Caenorhabditis elegans: one gene and its partner. The protein of the gene in region 1 purifies or fractionates together with the protein of each later gene. This does not show direct contact. Each region holds a gene or a part of one and is shown on either strand. Other genes may lie near its edges.

Evidence for each region. Proteins that work in one complex are often made in the same cells at the same time.
Region 2: the proteins of zwl-1 (region 1) and spdl-1 purify together in Caenorhabditis elegans (affinity purification with western blotting; 3 studies listed by BioGRID, with this or other methods). This does not show direct contact.

What each region holds. Positions count from the first base shown.
Region 1 is NC_003279.8:2,400,210-2,403,963, forward strand, and holds the start of zwl-1 (Protein zwilch homolog), read left to right. Parts: upstream 1-2,022; 5' UTR 2,023-2,025; coding exon 2,026-2,115; intron 2,116-2,806; coding exon 2,807-3,086; intron 3,087-3,135; coding exon 3,136-3,229; intron 3,230-3,754. Other genes in the region: dot-1.1 (Histone-lysine N-methyltransferase, H3 lysine-79 specific), read right to left, coding at 407-559, 800-929, 1,001-1,199, 1,249-1,279. UniProt on the Caenorhabditis elegans protein: Essential component of the mitotic checkpoint, which prevents cells from prematurely exiting mitosis. Required for chromosome segregation, the assembly of the dynein-dynactin and mdf-1-mdf-2 complexes onto kinetochores and spindle pole separation.
Region 2 is NC_003280.10:7,779,890-7,783,643, reverse strand, and holds spdl-1 (Spindly-like protein spdl-1), read right to left. Parts: upstream 2,079-3,754; 5' UTR 2,058-2,078; coding exon 2,022-2,057; intron 1,974-2,021; coding exon 1,731-1,973; intron 1,685-1,730; coding exon 1,361-1,684; intron 1,313-1,360; coding exon 680-1,312; intron 635-679; coding exon 431-634; 3' UTR 293-430; downstream 1-292. Other genes in the region: snpc-1.1 (snRNA-activating protein complex subunit 1), read left to right, coding at 2,435-2,532, 2,581-2,665, 2,716-2,793, 2,839-2,907, 2,953-3,162, 3,207-3,525, 3,587-3,668, 3,715-3,754. UniProt on the Caenorhabditis elegans protein: Transient kinetochore component required for chromosome and spindle pole alignment and chromosome segregation during mitosis.

The sequences.
Region 1 (3,754 bases):
AAAATCTTTGAAAAGACGATTTTCCGCGAAATTTCTGGCTTTTTTCGATAAAAATATGGATTTTCCATGATTTTTTGAGTCAAAATCTCGAAATTAATCGCGTTTAGGCCGATTTTATGCAGAATTATGGGATTTTTTCGATAAAAATATGGATTTTCGGGCTGATTTTTGAGTAATAATCCCGAAACTAATCGTTTTCAAGCCGATTTTTAGCGAAATTATTGACTTTTTTTCGATAAAAATAGGATTTTTGATGAATTTTTAAGTTAAAATGCCTAAATTATTTGGCTTTTAGAAAATATAAATTTTCAGGCTTATTTCTAAGGAAAAACCGATTTTTGAATAAAAATCCCGAAACTATCAGCTTTTTTCCATAAAATATGAATTTTCCAGGAAAACGCCTCACCTCGGACGTGAAACTTTTGTAATGTTGATTGAGATCTGCTGGCCGTGGAACTGCACACTCGTAGGCGTACGTTGTGATGGCTTTTGCCACTTCTGCCGAGCAATTTGGCTCTCCCCACTCTTTCAGCGTATCTGTGTTGTACGACCCGCTCCACTGAAATTAAATAGTTAATTAATTAATTTTTGCAAATTTTGCGGATTTTGGTTTAAAAAAATCCAAGAAAAGGAAGAAAAAACACGAATTTTTCATTTTTATTCGATTTTTTCCGCCTTTTTTGGATTTTATAAACGCCAAAAAAAAGCTATTTTTTCCGGTTTTTTTGGATTTTTAAACGCCAAAAAAAAGTTATTTTTTCCGCCTTTTTTGGATTTTATAAACGCCAAAAAAGCTCACATTCGAAGCAAATGGCTTGGCGACACGATTAAAACTCTTCGTCAGAGCCGCAATTTCACTAATTGACGGAGTATTTTGGTCCCAGCCCTTCGGGAAAGCGACCACCAATTGTTTAACTAGGGAGCACACGCTGAAAATGGAAAAATGATCAGAAATTAATTATATATATATATATATATTTATAAATCGATTTTTTCTCACCCTTTAATCATTTGAAAGACAACGGGATACATGTGAGCTCTATTACCCGGCAGACGAAGCGTCTTTCCTTGATAAAAAATCGAGTGAAGCACTAATAATTCGCCGTTTCCTACGTCGACTACGTCTACCGAAGAACTTCTCCGTTCTTCTTTGATTCTCATTGCAGCAGCCGGCTCTTCCGCTGTCCTTGATGGTGATTCTGCAATTTTTCTTTGATTTTTTTGAATTTTTTATCTTAATTTTCTCACCATCCCTCGCGCCGGCGTCTGCCTCCGACATCCTGCTGAAAAATGGATTTTTTAAAAATTATAATGTGTTATTAATTAATTTTCATTAATTTCTTTGATTTTAAAACAAAAATTGAGAAAAAATCCAATCAGAAAGTCTTTTTTATTGGAAAAATTGGTGGGTCGATAAGGAGTGCAGTGGGGCGCGCTTGCAGAGTACGCAAAAGTACGTGGAAGTGTTTGCACAGGAAGTGCACTTAAGTGGCGCGAAAACAAAACAATTTACTTTATTTTTCTCATTTTTTCACAGATTTTCTTAATTTTTTGGGTTTTTTTATTCGGAAAAAAAGAGAAAAATGCAAGATAAATGTAAATTTTTCATTAAAAAATCACTAAAAACGGATAAAACTGTAAAATTATGAGTTCCGACGACAACAAGCCGGAAATTAAATTGTTATTAATTTATTTTATTTTTCTCCTTATTTCACTGATTTTCTTCATTATTTGTGTATTTTCATCGCAAAAAGAGAGAAAAATGCAAGATAAATGTGAATTTTTCATTAAAAAATCACTGAAAATAGCTAATTTCCGGCTTGTTGTCGTCGGAACTCATAATATTACAGTTTTACCCATTTTCAGTGATTTTTCAATGAAAAATTCACATTTATCTCGCATTTTTCTCTCTTTTTGCCGATGAAAATACACAAATAATGAAGAAAATCAGTGAAAAAATGTTTTTTTTCACGTTTTTTCAGAAAATTCTCTTCTTTTTTTTTTCAAAATTTCATTTCCCAGAAAATGCCACTCACCATCGAGCAGCTCAAGCAATATAATGAAAAAATGGCCGCAAAAGGCGAAGAGGACGACGCCCCGGCACCGGTTCTCCTGGTAATTTTCCCCCAAAATTCTAGAATTCTTCGTTTGAAGGGGGAGTGGGGTTTGTGGGTATTTTGCTTAAATAGACTAAAACTGGTCCAAAACCACCGAATTTCATAACGAGACTTCACAAAAAATTTCCAAAACATTTTTATGGCGGGCCAAAATTTCGAAAAAAGAGCCAAATTTTGCTAAAATCCGAAATTTCGCATACTTTTCTTTGTCTCACAGCCGCTTGATTTTAGTTTTTCTGAAATTATCACCCTTTAATTCTTCTTTTGGTAATTTATGTCGCGGAAATTCGTTGATTGAGAAAACTTTTAGGCCGATAGGCATCCAAAAATGATCAAAATTGGATGCCTACTCAACTTTTAAGCCTATCGGCTTAAAAGTTGTCTCAATCAACGAATTTTCGCGAGATAAATTACCAAAATAAGGATTAAAGGGTGATAACTTTAGAAAAATTAAAATTCAGCGGTTGTGACAAAGAAAAGTGTGCGAAATTTCAGATTTTAGCAAAATTTGGCTTTATTTTTTCGAAATTTTATTAACCCGCCATAAAAAAGTTTTGGAAATTTTTTGTGAAGTCTCATTATGAAATTCGGTGGTTTTGGTCCAGTTTTAGTCTATTTGAGTAAAATACCCACAAACTCTACTCCCCCTTTAACTCAAATTTTAAAATTTCAAAATCTAAATTTTTCAGCTCGACAAGTACCGTGTCCGCGTGCTCCCGCTCACGTCGATTCCCTTCGTGATGAATCATTCGAGCGTTTCCCAGCTTTCTCTGAGCTCTGAAGATGTTCTTGTCGTTGATTTTCCATCCAAGGGAACAGGATCAGGAGCAGGAAAAGCGGAGAAAAAGATGATTTTCAAAAAGAAAATTGAGCCAATGGAAGATAGTTTTGAGGATAAAGAAAATGTGAATGAAGGTGGACCACTTATGACGTCATTTCTCACTTTGGAAAAATTGAGAAAAGGAATGGGTAGGTTGAAAATGCTGTTTTTATGCTGAAAAACCCCCAGATTTTACAGTTGGCGACGTGGAAATCATTGGATACGAGTGTGAAACCAGCTTCTTTGATGCAAATCCAATTCCACTCTCGGACGGGGTGTCTCTTCAGAGATAGTAATAAATTTATGTTTTCTGGAGTAGCGCCAGCGGAGAAATTGCTTTGAAACATTCCTATGAGGTCACAAGGACCGAATATCATGATAAAAAAATTCAAAAAAATTTTCTAGATTTTATATGATTTTTTGAAAATTGAAAAAATCTCAGTTTTCCCCCTAATTCCGCTTTGAATTTCCGCCAATTGGATTCGTTCGGTGGAGCGCACTTGCATTATTTTTATTTATTTATTTTATTTATTCTCGTTATTTCACCGATTTTCTTCATTTTCTATGTTTGTTCCTCGGAAAATGAAAGAAATAAACAAGAAAAATGCAAAATTTTTATTAAAAAGTAACTGAAAATGCATAAAACTCTGAAAATATGCGATCCGACGACGACAAGCCTGAAACTAGTATATTTCACAGTTTTACTCATTTTCAATTACTTTTTAACAAACATTTTGCATTTGTCTTGTTCATTTCTTCCATTTTCCGAGGAAAAAACATAGAAAATGAAGAAAATCGGTCAAATAACGAGAATAAA
Region 2 (3,754 bases), on another chromosome or scaffold:
ACAAATTCGAACGGTTTACAATTTTTAAATTTTAAGCTCTCTCAAATGTTACTAGTAGTAAGAACTGAACCTATATCGAAAGCATATCCATACGAGATCTCCGAAGATTGTAGGGAAGAGAAAATCTGGAAAATATTTTTCTATATTCTACCCCATATTTACAATAATAAATATTAAAAATATATAAATCAATAAGTGATCGTGTAATATCGATAGGGTTTCGCGCTCCACTGCACTCCCGCCAGCGGCTCTATCAAGTTCTTGAACATCAACAATCTAAGAATGAGCGTTATAATAAAAATAATTTTATTTGACATGCATTAAATAGGAAACATTGTAGAATAATCGACAAAACTTGGTGAATAGAGGGGACGAGATCAATACAGGCGGTTTTATATGAATACGAGATGACTACGAACATGATGTTTACTCAGTTTTCCTTTGTTTCTGAGGTTGATGGCATTTGAAGAACAGCCGGTTTGAATTTTGGAACGGGCTCGGACAGTTTGATATAGTTGTAACGCGGCGTCGGAGTCGCCAATTTCTTTTCAGCTTGAGCTTTCATACGACGTTCTGCCCATTCTGAAGTATCATCTTTGATGGAGGAACGAGTGGTGAATTTAGCTGCTGGTTTCTGGAAAAATAATTATTTATAGTGAAAAGTTGCACTTTTATCTACCTGTGGCGTAACGGCAATACTGGATAATGAATGCCCTAATTGAGGCATGGGTTCCACGTTTTTCGGTTTAATGAAGAATGATGGTCGTCCATTGTTAAGAGTTTTCAGAGGAGCAGCAAGAAGCGGGTGCTCGAAATCCTTATTGACAACTGGTGCAGCTTTTCTGTGAGCACATTTATTGTCGAATTGTAGTTGCACAATGTCCGCTTTGAGATTTTCTACTTCCTGTTGCAATCCACGAATAATTGTCACGTACTTTTCGTTGTCCTTCATCAAACCGTCAAAACCTCCTTTCACGCTCGCAATTGACAATTCGAACGACTTGAAGTAGCCGGTAATCAACGCTCCCACTTCGCGTTTTGGAATTGACCTCATTTTAATGAACATTCTTTCCCACAAATGAACCCTTTCCGTTTCCAGGTGACAAACTCTGTCTCTGAGACGACGCATCTCTTTGACATCAATATCACTTGTGGTCATTCGGGTAACGTTGAATCTTTTTGTGGATGACCGAAGTCTTTCTTCGACTTCTTCTACTTCCATTCGAAGACGTTTTACCATCCCTTTCAGTGCTCGATTCTCTCCATGAAGAACTTTCAGGTCTTCTTCAACCTTCCGCTCGGCATCAATAACCTGAAGAATATTAAAAAAAATGCAGTTAATTGATATTTTTTAACCTACCTCAGAAAACATTGAATTTCCGCGTGCCGCTAATTTTCCTTCATGGGAGTTTCTCTCATCAAAAAGCTCTCCTTCCAATCTGGCAATTTCCTCATCACGCGTCTCCATATGATTTTTGAGGTCCCGAATATGATCCATCATCGACTCAATTTCATCTTTCAAGTTGACCGCTTCTTTTTCGAGTTCGGCGTTTCGTTCGTAAAGAGCAGTCGCCGTCTCTTTGTATTTCTGACAATCTTCGCTAATACGAAGCATTTCAGATTCTCCGAAGGAATTGGAATCATCATGTTCGGGAATCACTGATCCGTTGGCAAACTCCTTATTCTGAGAATTCAATATATTAATGTTGCCCACAATGATGAAAACCTACAATTTTTTCGAGTTTGTCGATCTCACTACGCAGTGAATCGATGAGAGCGTCCCGATCAAGAATTGTGGCGTTTTTTCCGTCCATCTCAACATGAAGATCGCGAAGTTGTTCACTCAATTCTTGTGCACGTTCTTCGAGTGAAAGTTTGGAAGAACAAGGTTTTCCCTGATTTTTGAGATCGTCTTCCATCTCCTCGAGCATTTCATCTTTTTGACGGAGAATTTTCTTGAGCCTCTCAACGTCCTGAAATATTAGGTTTAGTTGGTAATAGATGAAATGATAAAACGTTACAGCAAGTAATTGGAGCTTCTCCTCGTCGTCAGGCATACTGATTGAAGTTCGATTCTTCTGAAAACATGAAAATGTTTCGATAGAAAACGATCAGTAGAATATTTTTCACGGCAACACGATTTATAAGAACGTTTCACGCAGATCTATAGCTTTTGATGTTTTAATAAAGCGTAAAATTGATTGCGAATATATTTAAACTAATTTTATGGGAATATTTTGAGCTAAATTATATCAAAACGATTGAAAAACAATATTTTTAGGTAAATTGAGGCGCAACTCATTTTGAAATGCGTTGAATACCGCTGGTTCCCGCCGAGAATTGGTTGTTCACGATAGAGCGCACTTGCATGTTTTTATTTTCGTCAATTATTTTCGGATTTATTTCTGAAGATTCAAGGAAAAAACGAGTCGCAATGGCTTCTGGAGGTATTCCCACGCCATTTATGGGAACTGGAGTTAAACAAGATCTTCATTTATTGTGCAACAAGTTTATATCTATGGGATCCAACAGGTATAGTTAGAAAATGTATTATTTGATGGAAAATCTTGATTAATTAAGAATTCGAGACTTTGCTGATGTTTTTCGGGATATGCATTTTGAGACCATTCTTCATTATCGATTAAATCCTGCCGAATGCTTAGAGGTAGCTTTATTTTGATTTTATTTAGTCTATTATAATATTCCGGCTTTCAGTTTACTGAATACCTGTTACAACACGCAGCAATGTATTTCGGAAAAGTGAATGAAGTTGGAGCATTCAGGGCATTCAAGGTTTGAAATAGAAGTAAAAATAAGTCTGAAATGTTATATTTTCAGGAGAGGCTATTCGGAGTTTATGTTTGCTATGCGTTGTACAATTTGCAGCCAGTTGATCATGTCTGTCAGGTGATTAATTCTAAGTTTAATTTAGTTTTAAAAAATTTAATTCAGATTCCGGTCACTGCGGTACAATTCGAAGAGCTTCTCGAATTTCAAAAATCTTTAGAAGTCGAAAAACTTCTTGAACCAATTGCGGCTCTCAAAATGCTTATTCTGAAGAAAGCGTTTAGAATTAAAGTGTTTCAGTCGACATATGATCCGGCAACCCACAAAAAATACCTTGCCGAGGAAGAGTTGCCCTATTTTAACAAAATTCCAGTTGTAAGTAAGTTAAATTATTGGAATTTTTTCATAAACAGTTTCAGGAGCCGTTTTCCAGTGTTACGAAAATGCTCAGTTCTGATATTATGACGGAATTATCATTTATTCACGGAGTTTACACAGAGGCTAAGCAAAAACTTGGACTAAGTGATACTCTAACGGGGCTCAAATCACCATTACACGAAATCAAGGGCATTGTCGAAAAATATAAAGAACAGTTCGAAAGTTCTCCAACAAATCCAGAAATTAGTAGCGCTCCAGAGGAAACAGCTGGTTCAAGCAGATCAACTTTGAGAAGTAAAGCATATGCTGAAGGACTAAAACACACTAGACAAAGAAGGCATCTTGATCCAAACATGGAAGGTACATTTATTACACGAAAATATGTTTTTTTTTTTCAAAAGTCAGCGTTCAACTTTTGCAGAAAACTTCAAACATCTTACCGCAAGAACGTTTGGTGACATCGCCCAGGAATGTTTGGATGATAATGATGCTCAGGTTCCAATGTAAGCAATTACAGTTTAACCCCAAAATAATAACCTATTTTTACAGCCCGATTGATCGCCCTGTAAGACAACGGCGACGCAGAAAA